Linked DNA regions of Xenopus tropicalis. Each later gene encodes a partner of the first gene's protein in a complex. Links are inferred from orthologs where the notes say so. Each region holds a gene or a part of one and is shown in the gene's direction. Other genes may lie near its edges.

Region 1 (4,195 bases):
GTATTTTGGTCTGAAATAAATAGCATTTGAGCAGAATTCTGCTTTATGGTGCTCTCCTCTATATTTGGATTGACATTTTTTAGGCTTGTGTTGCTCCCCAACTCTTTTTACATCTGACTGTGGCTCACAGGTAAAAACAAAAAGGTTGGGGATCCCTGCTCAAGATACACAAGTGCTATGGGCAAGCCAGTGATAAGAAAATAAACAAAACCAGTCAATCATAAGTAGAAACTCACAACCTGCCCAAAGGACAGTTCTTGCTCCAGTAAAGACACCCACATATTTTAAAGGGGAAGTAATCCCAGAATTGAAATGTTGCCTAGCCAACTGTCTATTAGCAGTCATTGCAATTAAAAAGCAATCAAGGTTATTCTCACTCTTACAACAATGTAGCAGAAGCCAAGCTCTCCTGCTGCGTGTATGGGCAATGCCTCAGCTGGCTTCAGATACAAAGTGTCAATAGTGAGAGCCGGCAGTGCAGGAATCAGAGAGAATGGAGCAAACCCCGCTCTCACTAGCACATACATTGCCTTAAAGCTGAATAAAATGAAAGTCCCGCCGGTGGCAGTGCCAACAGGCAGTTACAGGTTGGGCGAGTGTTGCGGAACTGCAGCTCTCACTATACAGATGTCAGGCAGGCAATGCCTATGGAGGGATTCGCTTAATCCCCTATGGGAAGGACGTTTAGTTGTAGTTCCGCACAGTCTTCCTTAGTATTACAGAGGGATCACTGTATGAATGTAAGGAATACACCGCGTCTTATGAACATTCCTACGCCGGGCCCCCGCCCAAGACCGGTTCCCTAAGCCGCCCCTGCACCGCTCCCTGCTCGACCCACGGGCTTAGCATGGCAAACACAGGCGGCCTATAGCCCGGTTCTCTATCCCGGACTGTTGTCGCTCTTTCGTGTCAATTTCTCCGTAAAACCCCCCGCCCCTCACACTCACCATCGCTCCGGTATCCCCCGATAGCGGAAGTGACAGACTCGCACATGCGCACTACCTCTCTTCCCCCTCACTGGCACAGCCAGCGGTCGGACTAAACCATCATAAACTGGGGTTGGGCGAACATTTATACTTAAACCATGTAGATTAATTTAGCCGCTTGGGCTGTGGATATACACATAAGCATATCTCAGTTCCGTTCTTGTTACATTATTATTCTCATATACGTATAAAAAGCAATACTATATGAATTTACCCGGTGTGCACCCTCCTCTTGAAAATGGTCCGGCTCGCCCCGCTTCACGCCATATTAGGGAATGTGGAATGCAGGCGGGTCAGACCAAAGTGGGGTTTAGGGGGTGTACAAACAGAACATGAGCGACCGGGAGAAATTTCTTACAAGGTATTCATGAGAGAGATTGTTATCACGACTGCTAGAGGCTTATGATACCAGATACCTGCGGATCTATCACAGCTGCACATCAATAGTAATACTACGGGAGCCCACAGGCTAAGCCTTCCCAATGCCGCCATTGCGCGCCAAGTACGATTCTTCTCTATGGTTGATTCCATCGGGGCACAAAATGGGTGCTTAAAAGAGATTGTGCCTTGTGGACGTGAACCCATTAGGCGCTTGTGGTAAGAACGTTCCCTAAGAACGGGTTATTGTGCTCAACGGCCTATTCCAGCCTTATTAGTTGTTCCCCATTTACTGACACCCCTATTTGTTTTTCCGCAGTGGTACGCTCCCGGGTGACTGACAGGCGGTGACAGTGGCGGCCTTGCGTGAGGAGCTTGGCTCTGCCCCCTACTGGCCGTTGGGAGACAAAGGAAACGAGCGCAGGAGCAGGATCCATTGAGGGGGCCAGGCCGGAGTGTGGGTACGGGCATATTGTGTGGTGTCGGTATATACCGTGCGTGGGGGCTCAGTGCTTGCGTTATATGCGGAGAGTACCTGTAACAATGCGTCATTTGGTAGCCATAGGCTACTAAATACGTTTACTCCCCTGCTGTAATAGAATAGGACTACAACTCCCAGCCGCCCCTTTCGCAAAGCGCCAGTTCTGCAGCAACTGGAGAGCAGTTACCTGTACATAAGGGGTTATTAGTAATAACCCCTACCCCAGGGCACAGGTGCATAGTGTTACTGCTCCTGCATAGGCATACAGTATACACCTGCCCTATAGCCTGTTGTGCATTGGGGGTATGGGTGCACTTATCAATAGTACTGGGGCATTGGGGTACAGTATGGCCGGCCATTACAGCTGGCTGTGCATTAGTGCTGCAGGGTATGGAGGCTGCAATATACACATGCAGTAGTGCTGCAGGGTATGGAGGCTAAAATATACACATGCATTAGTGCTGCAGGGTATGGAGGCTGCAATATACACATGCATTAGTGCTGCAGGGTATGGAGGCTGCACTATACACATGCATTAGTGCTGCAGGGTTTGGAGGCTGCAATATACACATGCATTAGTGCTGCAGGGTTTGGAGGATGCAATATACACATGCATTAGTGCTGCAGGGTTTGGAGGATGCAATATACACATGCATTAGTGCTGCAGGGTTTGGAGGCTGCAATATACACATGCATTAGTGCTGCAGGGTATGGAGGATGCAATATACACATGCATTAGTGCTGCAGGGTTTGGAGGATGCAATATACACATGCATTAGTGCTGCAGGGTTTGGAGGCTGCAGTATACACATGCATTAGTGCTGCAGGGTATGGAGGCTGCAGTATACACATGCATTAGTGCTGCAGGGTATGGAGGCTGCAATATACACATGCATTAGTGCTGCAGGGTATGGAGGCTGCAATATACACATGCATTAGTGCTGCAGGGTATGGAGGCTGCAATATACACATGCATTAGTGCTGCAGGGTATGGAGGCTGCAATGTAGACATGCATTAGTGCTGCATAGTGCTGCAGGGTATGGAGGCTGCAATGTACACATGCATTAGTGCTGCAGGGTATGGAGGCTGCAATATACACATGCATTAGTGCTGCAGGGTATGGAGGATGCAATATACACATGCATTAGTGCTGCAGGGTATGGAGGATGCAATATACACATGCATTAGTGCTGCAGGGTATGGAGGCTGCAATATACACATGCATTAGTGCTGCAGGGTATGGAGGCTGCAATATACACATGCATTAGTGCTGCAGGGTATGGAGGCTAAAATATACAAATGCATTTGTGCTGCAGGGTATGGGTACATGAAGGCTGTAATATACACATGTATTAGTGCTGCAGGGTATGAAGGCTGCAATATACAAATGCATTAGTGCTGCAGGCTATAGGTGCACAGACAGTCCTGGTATTTTGGGGTACAGAACAATATACACGTGCATTAGTGCTGCAGAGTATAGATGATATATTCATCTTAGTGTATTGGGGGTACCGCATTCACCTGCATTACAGCATTGGTGAACAGTATGCACATGTGGTATGGCTTGTTGCCTATTGGTGCTGCAGAGTATGGTTGCATACATTTGTGTTGGTGCAACATATGCATGTATTCTAGGTTTAAGAAGGGATTCGCTGTTTATTTCAGAGGGGGGATTTTTGAGCTCTTGCATTTTTGCTGGTGTATCATATTAGACCAGGGTCAGACTTGGCCCTCCATAGGGCCCCCTTTTAAAACAAAACAATGTTATAGGTGTTGTATATGGCTAGGTGGAAATAAGGGGCTGATGGGAGTTGGCCTAGGTCCAACAGTAGATTCTTCAGCGCACTAAATAGAGAAAAAGGGCTTGCACTCAAATAATGCAGAGGTTGTATTCTAAAAAAAAAATTATCTTAACCTTTTGTATTATTCTTTGTTGCAGGCCGCCAGCCTTGGCAGAATGAGCGAGTTAAAGGATTGCCCTCTCCAGTTCCATGACTTCAAATCTGTGGACCATGTCAAGTTGTGCCCCAGATACACCGCAGTTCTGTCCCGCTCCGAGGATGACGGAATCGGGATTGAGGAGCTGGATACCCTTCAGCTGGAGCTGGAAACCCTACTGTCCTCTGCAAGCAGGAGGCTCCGTGTTCTGGAAGCGGAGACCCAGGTAAAAATCAGGGGGTTAAATGTAGAGCACCCGTCCCTCAGCAGTGGCTGCCCAGTGTACTTGGCATGAAGGAATATGCCCTTGTGTAGGAGGGTTTCATGCCCAGTAGGAATGTCTATAGGTTTGAGTTGGTATAAATCTTCAGATGGCAAAATGCTGCATATGCTGCCCGTTATATTTATTGT
Region 2 (3,500 bases), on another chromosome or scaffold:
AAGAAAGATAGAAAAAAAAAAAAAAAAGTGTAAGTGTAAGTGTGTGTGTGAGTGTCTGTGTGTGCTTGGGAAAGTTGTAAATAAGTGTGTATGTGTACAAAAGTGTAATAATGACAAAGATAGAAGAAAAAATTGAAAAAAAAAAAAAAAAAAATTTTTAGACAGTTGAGATCGAAATAAGCAAAATAAACAGTGGTAGAGAGTTGTAGTTCAGCTTACCCAAGGCAGGCAGGCGATCAGGGGCGACCAATCTGGCAGGAAGGCAGCAGGAAGGCAGCAGGGGAGCTCCATCAGGTCCGAAGTGCGCAGCAGGAATGAGGAGCCGACAGTAGGCGGCGCTATTTAAAGGGACAGCAGTGGACACGTCATCATCGCGTGTCCACTGCTGTCATTGGCTGGCGACGCGATCGTGGGACCGGATCGGTGAGTATGACTGTCTCTGCTCGTTGCCTAGGGGGTTGTGAAGGGTTTACAAGCGCTGCGCTGCTTTAAAAGCGAGCGCAGCGCTTGTAAACCTGATAGTGCTGTAGGACGTAGATTCTACGTCCTGTGGCACTTTGGTCCTTTGCTACCCAGGACGTAGAATCTACGTCCCATGGCACTAAAAGGGTTAAAGGGGAAGTTCACCTTTGGCAACTTTTCAATTGCTTTTTCTTCTGACTTTCCAGCTTTCAAATGGGACCCCCCGGCAGCCAAAAAAACTATTGCTCTGTGAGGCTACAGTTTATTTGTTATTGTTACTTTATATTAATTATTTTTCTATTCAGGTCATCTCCTATTCCTATATCGTTTTTTCATTCAAAGCACACCCAGGTTGCTAAGGTAATTTGGGCCCCAGCAACCAAATAGCTGCTGAAACTCCAAGCTGTAGAGCTGCTGACCAAAACCTGAAATAATTAAAAAACTACAAATGGTAGAAAATGAAGACCAATTGCAAAGTGTCTCAGAATATTACTCTCTACATCAGACTAAAAGTTAACTCGAAGGTGGATAACCCCTCTCTTAACAATCGTTCAGGAAGAACCATCTTTAAATTAATATAAGATAGCTGGGTTTAGATGCATGAGTACTTGGGGCACAAGTGAGTGGGAGCTGGGACACGGCTGTAGGAGACTCACCTACACTAGAACATGTCAGTTGTTTTCTTATATTGGCCAAGAATACATTTTTGGGTTTATATGCCCTGCCTATGAATTCTCCGTATCCCTGCCTTTTACTCCGTATGTCTTTCTATCCACTCGTCGTCACCCTTCTAGTTTTCTTAGGTTTTTTTTTTTGTGTGTCCTTCCAGGGATTTTCCAAGGACATCAAAGTTCCAAAAAGTCGTTACTTGGGGTACATCAAGGATTACGAGGGAGCCACTTTAATGGAGTGTGAACTGAACCCCAGAATACCTTATACAGAACTCTCCCACATAATCAAAAAGCAAAAGGAGGTAAATGGGCGTCATTTTGTGCTGTTTTTTGCTTTTTGTTTTTATAGTGGCAAGATGCCTAAATATATATGTTTCTGGGAATGATGGCAAAGATAGTAGTTGCTCAAACTTATACTTATTTGACCTTATAATGTCAAACATTGGCCTCTAGGGGGTCTGTTGTCATGAAAATAAGTAATATTTGCACTAAACATCCCCAGACATTGTTCTAGAGCAGGGGTGGCCAAACTTTTTGGCTCAGGGGCCACATTGACTTACCGCCGGGCCAGTGTTACGGCGTTTCTGCTCGTCAGTCCCCAGACGCCAAGTCTTGAATGATGAGACTTGCGGAGTCGGCATGCCGGATTAAACGGACCAAGGGGCCGGACGTGGCCCGCGGGCTGTAGTTTGCCCACCCCCTGTTCTAGAGACATAATTGGATTATTTAATATCCTTTTACCATAGCACGTCTCTATATGATTTCTACTCTTGGCTTTTTTTTCATCACATTCCCTCATTTTGCAGATAATAAAGAAGCTTATTGAACGCAGGCACGCTCAGATCCGCAAAGTCTATCCTGGCCTTACGTGTTTTAAAGAAGGCCTCCGACAGATCCCAGTGGAGTGCATTCCCGGAATACGTAAGTTGGTCACTGTAAAGCATCTCCAAAAACAAGTGCATAATAATAATAACGCGGAGTAAAAGGCAATAAGGATAAGTCAAATATGTATTTATATTTTTTTTGTAGGAGAGACCGGCTGGAAACCAGCATGTAAAGACAAAGGGTAAGTATTACAACATTACCCATTAACACCCTCTAGAAAGCCAGTCAAATGTGGTTTGTTTTACTATAATAATACAACACTGTATTGAGGTAATAGAAACAGGCAGTTTGCTTCATAATCAACCTTATTTCATTGTCATCTTTGAATAATAGTTTGTATTACTTAAGTACTTAAATTAGCTAAGGCTTCACTAGTGTTGTGTCTAATGCACCTCTGGATATTTAACTTTCATGTGTTTTCACTACTCAGGATAGGGGGTTTGGGTTGTTGGAGAAGGACAGTACATGTATGGGACCTGTTACCTAGATTGCTTGGGACCTGTGGTTTCTGGATAAGGGATCTTCCTGTAATTTCAATCTGCATACCTGCTAAAAAAAAAAATCATTTAAACATTAATTAAACTGGTTAGAATTGCTTAACCTCCAATTAAGTTAAATTATCTCAGTTAAAATCAAGTACAAGATATAGAGAAGAAAATTTATAACATTTTGAATTATTTGATCAAAACGGAGTCTATGGGAAAAGGCCGTCCTGTATTTTGAAGCTTTCTGGATAATGGTTTCCCAGATAACGGATCCCATACCTGTATCAGTGAATAACTGTTACCCTGGTGCATTTATACACATCTTGACAGTGCAGTAGTACTAGTGCTAATGAGCTTTGATATGTTTCAATTAATGTATACTCTCTGTGTGCTCAGGAAAGAGATTAAAGACCCAGACCAGCTGTATAACATCCTGAAGAACCTTCTAGCACAAATCAAAGTAAGGGACTGCATTTGGAATATGGTTTCTGACTATTGATCCACTTGGCAAACGATACAACACACATACTTGGCCAGATTTGGTTGGTCATCTGGCTATACAGACAAGGGCTTATTACATACTTTTGGGGGTGCCAAAATATTAGCCCCCCCCCTACCCAGTGATTGTAATCACTTACCTTATACACCGGGTTGGGAGAAAACCGCAACTGTCCAGGGTAGCTGCGAGGGAGCGATCTTCCTCCTGCCTTCTTGCTTCACTATCCTGGGCCGATGCATTCGCAGCAGAGTGAAAAAGCTGACTTTTTGGTTGAAGTTCGGCTTTTCACTCTACTTTTATTCCAAAGTTGCGCAAAGTTTCCTTCTGAAGCAACTTCGTGTGACTTCGGAAAACTGAAGCAATGCGAACTGCTTTTCACCAACAACTCCTATTGTTGCGAGTGGGAAGCCATTTCAAAGATCTATTGCGGGCGACTGAACCGCTTTGTGGGTTATTACCCTTACCATACCTGATTAAACAGCCCTAGAAACTCCCTCT
Region 3 (4,098 bases), on another chromosome or scaffold:
AGCCCAGAGACACAGTTTTACTCCAAGCAGAGCCACTGGGTGGCTACTAAAGAGCCAATCACAGCCCTTATGTGGAAGCCCCAAAGAACCTTTTTCATGATCAAGAGTAAAAAAAGAATGGGGATCCCAATCTAAGGGAAGCGCTATGGTAGCTCCTCTATGACAGAAAGCTGTAACAAGTTGCAAACGGGTTCATTGTGTTCACTGTTTCCCCCGTCCCTTTGCCAGGATGACGATCGGTATGAACAAACAAGTGACGTACGGACACAACTCAAATTCTTCGAGCAGCTCGATCAGATAGAGAAGCAGAGGAAAGACGAGCAGGAGCGGGAGATTCTAATGCGGGCAGCTAAGGTCAGTGCCTTTCATTATCCAAAGTATCCAAGGCTTTATGCTCTGCGGCCGCTAGGGGGCACTGTTTTCCTATTGTACTTCTGTATGCCTCAATCATGGCTGTTTCCACTAATATGAAGAAACACGAAGGATGAAGACACACAGAGCTACTTAGTAGCAGCTACTTGTCACGACTACTAAACGCCAGAAAATCCCCTGCCATAGACAATACTGAGAATTGCCTCTGCTAAACACACATAGGGGCAATTATCAGTAAATGATCATTATTGTCTGTTTTAGTAGCTGCTACTAAGTAGCCCCTTGTGTGTTCAGCCTAATATGCAGACTGATCGGGCTCCCTGAATATCCTTATACCATAACATCACCAGGTCAGTAGAGTGTTTAACCCCTGCTTTGATATCTGGTTTATTTTCCCTTTAATCCATGGTGCAGTCACGTTTTCCTTTGACTTAATTCTTAGTACGACGTAGAGAGTAATATTCTGAGACCATTGGTCTTCATTTTTTTTATTTGTTTTTTAATGATTTCACTTTGTTTCAGTAACTGGTTGCTAGGGTCCTAATTACCTTGGCAACCAGTGTGTGGTTCGAATCAGAGACTGGTATATGGATAGAGGATAGAACCTGAATACAGAGTGGCCTCACAGAGCAATAGTTTTTTGACTGCCGGGGTCAGTGACCCCCCCCCCCCCCATTTTAAAGCTCTAGAGAGGCAGAGACAAATAATTCAAAAACGATTATAAATAAATAATGAAGACCAATGGAAAAGTTGCTGAGAATTTGGGGGTCAGTGGAATTCTGGGCTTTCAGGATTTTCCTTCAGGACTGTTTATTGGTAGAAACTGACATATTGTTCATTTTTTTGCCCCTTGCGCAGTCTCGGTCAAGGCAGGAGGATCCAGAACAGTTGCGGTTAAAACAGAAGGCGAAAGAGGTGAGTGCGTTGATTGGATATAGCCGTACCAACCGTACCCCCAAATACCGAGGGTAAGGATTAAATACATCTTCTTCTCCTTCCATAGATGCAACAGCAGGAACTGGCACAAATGAGGCAGAGAGACGCCAACTTAACAGCGCTAGCAGCTATTGGCCCTCGAAAAAAGAGGAAAGTTGAATCACCGGGCCCTGGTTCTGGTTCAGAGGTCAGTGTATATGTAATGCGCCCCCTGTTGTATATTATAAGGATATTAGCAGTCACTGAGGGGTTCTGTGCCCCCCATATAAAGGCACAAGGCTGCAGGCTGAGTTATACAGGGAACTCTGAGTATCACTCATGTATTATAAGGGATAATGTACCCCCTACTGTAAATGATAAGGATATTAGCAGTCACTGAGGGGTTCTGTGCCCCCCATATAAAGGCACAAGGCTGCAGGCTGAGTTATACAGGGAACTCTGAGTATCACTCATGTATTATAAGGGATAATGTACCCCCTACTGTAAATGATAAGGATATTAGCAGTCACTGAGGGGTTCTGTGCCCCCCATATAAAGGCACAAGGCTGCAGGCTGAGTTATACAGGGAACTCTGAGTATCACTCATGTATTATAAGGGATACTTACCGCGGCTTAACTTGCCCTTTTCTTTCTCCCGCCAGTCGTCCAGCACAAGTACCGCCACGGCCAGCAGTTCGGCGGGAGGGGGCAGCCGACAGTTTACACGACAAAGGATAACGCGGGTCAATCTCAGGGACCTCATTTTATGCTTGGAGAGCGAGCGAGAGACAAGCCATTCACTATTGCTATACAAAGCATTCCTTAAGTGAGACTCACAGAACTCCACAAAATGGGAAAGATCAAGGTATTTTTGTTCATTATCTGTCGGTTTTTATTTTTGCCCCTCAAAGAGGCGCCCCCCCCTCCCTTCTCGCCGGACACGTCTGCAGAACTTTTTATTTTTTCCTGTTCCTTCATCGTCTGTTGGAGACAATAATGGTTTGAAGATGGCGCCGCCGATGCCAACCAACCCCATTAGACCACGTTAACCCTTCGCCGACGGGGCAGGATCACAGCCGCCAACGAGGAGCGAAAAAGACTCGTTTTTGTTCTGCATCGTCTTTGTATTTTTTATTATTATTATTATTATGTGGAAAAATCCAAATCAAGGTTGAAAACTGCCTTCTGCAAAAATCCAAGCCATAGAGAGATTGCTCGTTGCCACCGTCCGAGCCCCCCCGGCCCCCCGTGCTGCACTTGTTTTCACTGATCTGTACCGAGTTATCAGGGTTTTCTTTTTATTATGTACGGTTTTATCAATCTTGTTAAAGGGCAAGTAAACCTAAACTCACTGGGGCTGTGACGCGCTGTTAGGTAAAACTCCGCCCCCTTAGGGGGTTCTTATTGCTCACCTCCTACCCCAGGCCAATGCAAATGCACCGGCCCGGGGTACTTTATACTGAATATTAATCATGTCCTCCCTTCTCATCCTGGGCCCGAGCCGAGCTTGAAAAGGGATTGAAAGACCCGAACGCGACCCCGCCCTATTTGGTGACATCAGAGGGGGGTGGGTGGGGCACGGGGACACTGTCCCACTGATGTGAGTGATGGGGGGAGCCCAGCTGCATAAGGAAAGTTCTATTCACTGTTGGGGGGTAGAATGGCAACCAATGTCAGTTTTGGGTCAGCCTGTTCGGTACCAAACCACATACTGTCAACCATTTTGGTACCTGGCAGCCATTTTGGATCCCCCGGCCGCCCTTGCTGAGTGTGAGTCTGTCCTTCCAGGTCAGAAAACATGGCGGCAGGGTCAGCTGGACCCTGGGGGAAACCCAGTGGGCCCCACCACTCCCCTCCCCTGAGAAGGGGGAGGTGCTGGTTTTGGGGGCCCCCAGGGGTAGCAGCCCCAGTCCAAGGATAAAGTACCCCAGACTGTTGTGTCTTTTTGAAGACTATTTGCCCCAGTCCAGGGCAGGAGGTGACCAGCTACTATCACTGGGGGTGCCAATCCGGTGCCCCAACCCTGCCAGTGATTTTTTTTAATTCCCCCTTTCCTTTAACCCCTTCTCTGCTTACAGCAAGGGGGGGGTTAACAACTCCCTGCATCAGATTCTTTTTGCAGATGGCAGAGACTCCGCCCCCCCCCGTCCCGTATTTATTGATTTTTATCGCTTTCACTATAACGTCACTCCCTTTGCCTTTATTTTAGCAGCATTTCTAATATTTGTTTTTTTTTGTTTCCTATATATAAATATATATATATCCAAAATAACCTCTGTTTAAACAAAAATCATTATTTTCCACCGTTAAAGAAAAAAAAAAAAGTGTTTTTAACCTGTACAGGAAGTGAGCGATTGTGTCCCCGCCCCCCCGGGGCAAAGAGAGGTTTTTATTAAAGTGTATATGGCATAAATATATATATTTTTTGCACTGTTTTAGGTTTTAAATATTTTGGGGTTTTTTTTTTTTTTCTACCCAAGACGAGTGCTCCGCCCCCTTTTTTTCTTTCTCTCTATTCGACGGCAGAACCAATAGAAGCCCCGGTGTTTCCATAGTCACTGTAGATAATTTGTAGCACCTCATTACCCACAATCCTACCATAAATTATTCTGTAAATCCATCATTTTTTGGTTTATTAACAGTATGCAAGCTCTGGGGGCAAGCCCCTCCCCCACCCTCCGTCGCCACAGCAGAAAAAAATCGCCCTTCTTTGTATCTATTTTTTTATTATAAAAAAAAAAAAATAAAAACTAAAAATAAAATATATACTAATTGGTTCTTTCTATTTTCGGAGGTTCCTGTATCCAAACT
Region 4 (3,500 bases), on another chromosome or scaffold:
GCCACCCTATCCCCTCTGTTCTCTCACCTCTGCTGTTTTGGTTTCACATTACAGCAAACTGTTTCCAATGGGAAAACACATTCTCACGTTTCTCTTCTATGTCTGGAGAGAATTTTTTTTTTCTTTGCCACAAGGGAATAGAACTCAAGGGTTTCAATCGGCATCTGTCAGGCTCTTTCATATTTACCTCTCTGCCCCTCCCGTTACAGGTGCATTTTAATCGCGACGGTTCCCTCATTGTATCCAGTAGCTACGATGGTTTGTGGTGAGCGACTTTTACCCTTGTTTTGCTGTCCCCCCCCCCCCCCAAACCCTTGCACTAGGGATGCACCAAACCCAGGTTTTCGGGTTCGACCAAACCCCCAAATCCATCGTAAGGGATTGGCTGAATACCGAACCAAATCCTAATTAGAAGGGTTAAATGTCGCACGTGGCGAAACATTTTCCACTTCCGTGTTCACGTGGTGACATTTAACCCTTCCAAATCGGTTTGGCCAGGACCGTGGATTCGGCCGAATACTGAACCTATTCCTGGATTGGGTGCCTCCCTACCTTGCACCCAACTGCCTCTCTTGGGGTGAAACTACTTGGCACATTATACCAGGAAGGTGTCTTTAAAAATAAAAGCCTTGAAGGGTTGGTTCACCTTTTTAGTATGTTATAGAACGGCCAATTATTTACCTTCTTCTAAAGACCCCCAACTTTCAAATGGGGGGGGGGTCACTGACCCCGGCAGCCAAAAAGCAATTGCTCTCTGAGGCTACAGTTCATAATGTAATTTTTATCGTTTTACTGTTCAGATCCTTTCTTCTTCATCTTCCTCCCTGGTTACTAAGGTAACTTGAACCCTAGCAACCAGATAACTGCTATAGTTTCAAACTGGAGTCTTGCTAAACAAAAAGTGAAATGATTAAAAAAAAAAAAACCACATAATAAAAATATGAAGGAAGAATCGATATTTATACACAGTAAAACAAGTGGGAAGAATAAAGCCATTCGCACATTTAATGGCTGTCGTTCCAAAAGGGGTTGTTCACTTTTGAGTTGGATTTTCAGCAGTTATCTGGTTGCTTGGGTCCACTTTACCTTAGCAACCAGGGAATGGTTTGAAAGTGTGACTGATATATGAATAGGGGAGGGGCTGAAAAGAAAGATAAGGAATAAAAAGTAACAATAAAACTGGAGCCTCACAGAGCAATAGGGTTTTTGGTGGCCGGGGTCAGTGACCCCCATTTGAAAGCTGGAAAGAGTGAGAAGGGAAATAATTCAAAAAGTATAAAAAATAAAGACCAATTTAAAAGTTGCTTAGAATTAGCCATTCTATTACATATCAAAAGTGAAATTAATCATTGTGATTGGCACCACCTTATTACACTTTGCCGTTAGTAGAACATTTACTGTACAGATTTTTTCAAAACTTAATAAATTGCATGAACCCCAGCAATAACCTGCCTACAGAGCTTGCACTTCATTTTATACCATCAGCATTCTTTATATCTATTTGCAGTGTTTTATTCCAATTGTAAATGTTTTGTTGCCTTTTAATCTTAGCCGAATATGGGACACAGCCTCAGGACAGTGTTTGAAAACACTCATTGGTACGTGGCTTATTTATTTATTGTTTTGTCCTTATTTATTTTTGTCCAGTTTCATATTTAAACGTAATTCTCCTTTTCATCCTTTTTAGATGACGATAATCCTCCAGTATCTTTTGTGAAGTTTTCTCCCAACGGCAAATACATTTTAGCAGCAACCCTAGACAAGTAAGTAGCACTGCAAAGGCATTACCGACACTGAAAGGATTTTCAACAGCTGTCTGGTTGCTAGGGTCCAATTTAACCTAGCAACCAGGCAGCGGTTTGAAAGCGACAGGAATATAAATAGAGGAGGGCCTAAATAGATGATGATGATGATAATAAGAAGTAACAACACAATTATAGCCGCACAGAGCAATAGTTTTTTGACTGTGACCCCCATTTGAAAGCTGGAAAGAGTCAGAAGAACAAGGCAAATAACTCAAAAACTATAACAAATAATAAAATGAAGACCAATTGAAAACATATTAAGAAAATACTATTCTATAACATAACGAAAGTTAACCTGAAGGCAAATACTGTTTAAATGCAGCCGTACATGGGCTTGACTGGTAATGGCTCTCTACCCAATCGGCCCAATAGCCAAACGGATGGTGAGTGTTCAGTTTGTTTATGCAGAGCTCACTAATGATTAGAACTGCGGAAAGTAAAGAAGAGCTGTAGCTAATCAATATGTAGCCGACGTGGGGGATCGGCAAATAAAATTTCTTGATGGACAGATACCAAAAGTACATGGATCTGCAGGTCATCGTGTATGTACCAATAATGGTACAAAGCTTCAATATTATTGGTCTGCATTGCATTGGTCCCTAGGGGTGCTGTTTAAAGGGGTAGTTCACCTATAAATTAGCTCTTAGTGTGTTGTAGACATTGATACTCTGAGACAATTTTGAATTGGTTGAAATTTTCCCGTTATTTAGCCTCTGTTCAGCAGTTCTCCAGTTTGGAATTTCAGCATCTATCTGGTTGCTATGGTCGTGTTTACCTTAGCAACCAGGCAGTGGTTTGAATGAGAGACAGGATTAGGAATAGGACAGGATATGAATATAAAGATAAGGAATAAAAATGAACCAGAAAATTGTAAGCTCACGAAGCAAAAATTTCCTTTCTGCTGGGGTCAGTGGCCCACGTTTGGAAGATGTACAAGGGAGGCAAATAATTCAAAAACTATACAATAAATAAATAATGAAGGCCAATTGCAAAGTTGCTAGGAATAGGGCACAAATTGAAATTGGTCACAAATCAAACATTCAGGGAGCTGCAATGCTCCTCTTAGAAGCCATTGTCCATTTTTGAGAGATAGCCACTCCCTTCTCACAGTATCTTGGCAAATAGGAATTAGAAAGATCTTTTTGCCCGTTTCTCCTGTTCAAGGTGAGATCCTTATCATGTTACCTGTTTTGTCTTTGCAGTACACTCAAATTGTGGGATTACAGCAAAGGGAAGGTGAGTGTGACTGATGCTCCAGCTGCCAGCACTTTATTTTTACCCCTGAACAAATAGTAATTAGACTTTATTTTGTTCATGAAAAACCACAGAAGACTAGTATTTGCCCCCCCCCCCCCCCAATGCTCTCAGTTATCTTGCTCTAATTGGTTACAAATGTTCCAGTTCTAAAATTAGCCTTAGCTGACTGGTCCTTCTGTGTTTGTTTAATTTTAGCCACATTAGGCTTGGGTTATTTGGGTCCAGTTTGTTCCCTTACTGGATTCCGTTTCCCCGAAGAAAGCTGGCTGTTCCCTTTATAAAGGGATACTGCCATGGTATTTATGGGGCACTTTTTATTTCTAAATGACACTGTTACGCAGAAAATAATTCCCTCTGCCATTTAACCTTTTATTCTTGTACCAACAAATGTATTTGTAGCTGTAATATTGGTGTGTAGGCGCCATCTCAGTGCCTTGT

Evidence for each region. The genes of interacting proteins can lie anywhere in the genome.
Region 2: tada3 (region 1) and kat2a share a complex: the UniProt entries of both Homo sapiens proteins name them as parts of the STAGA transcription coactivator-HAT complex. The link is inferred for Xenopus tropicalis from reciprocal best matches to the Homo sapiens genes TADA3 and KAT2A.
Region 3: tada3 (region 1) and taf4 share a complex: the UniProt entries of both Homo sapiens proteins name them as parts of the TFTC-HAT complex. The link is inferred for Xenopus tropicalis from reciprocal best matches to the Homo sapiens genes TADA3 and TAF4.
Region 4: tada3 (region 1) and wdr5 share a complex: the UniProt entries of both Homo sapiens proteins name them as parts of the ADA2A-containing complex. The link is inferred for Xenopus tropicalis from reciprocal best matches to the Homo sapiens genes TADA3 and WDR5.

What each region holds. Positions count from the first base shown.
Region 1 is NC_030680.2:138,580,975-138,585,169, reverse strand, and holds the start of tada3 (transcriptional adapter 3), read left to right. Parts: upstream 1-1,395; 5' UTR 1,396-1,583; intron 1,584-1,683; 5' UTR 1,684-1,825; intron 1,826-3,785; 5' UTR 3,786-3,803; coding exon 3,804-4,010; intron 4,011-4,195. UniProt on the Homo sapiens protein: Functions as a component of the PCAF complex. The PCAF complex is capable of efficiently acetylating histones in a nucleosomal context. The PCAF complex could be considered as the human version of the yeast SAGA complex.
Region 2 is NC_030686.2:6,944,232-6,947,731, forward strand, and holds part of kat2a (histone acetyltransferase KAT2A), read left to right. Parts: intron 1-1,291; coding exon 1,292-1,435; intron 1,436-1,939; coding exon 1,940-2,054; intron 2,055-2,162; coding exon 2,163-2,199; intron 2,200-2,899; coding exon 2,900-2,963; intron 2,964-3,500. UniProt on the Homo sapiens protein: Protein lysine acyltransferase that can act as a acetyltransferase, glutaryltransferase, succinyltransferase or malonyltransferase, depending on the context.
Region 3 is NC_030686.2:4,364,511-4,368,608, reverse strand, and holds the end of taf4 (transcription initiation factor TFIID subunit 4), read left to right. Parts: intron 1-228; coding exon 229-354; intron 355-1,230; coding exon 1,231-1,287; intron 1,288-1,375; coding exon 1,376-1,495; intron 1,496-1,949; coding exon 1,950-2,117; 3' UTR 2,118-3,598; downstream 3,599-4,098. UniProt on the Homo sapiens protein: The TFIID basal transcription factor complex plays a major role in the initiation of RNA polymerase II (Pol II)-dependent transcription.
Region 4 is NC_030684.2:8,192,365-8,195,864, reverse strand, and holds part of wdr5 (WD repeat-containing protein 5), read left to right. Parts: intron 1-209; coding exon 210-265; intron 266-1,551; coding exon 1,552-1,598; intron 1,599-1,687; coding exon 1,688-1,763; intron 1,764-3,007; coding exon 3,008-3,041; intron 3,042-3,500.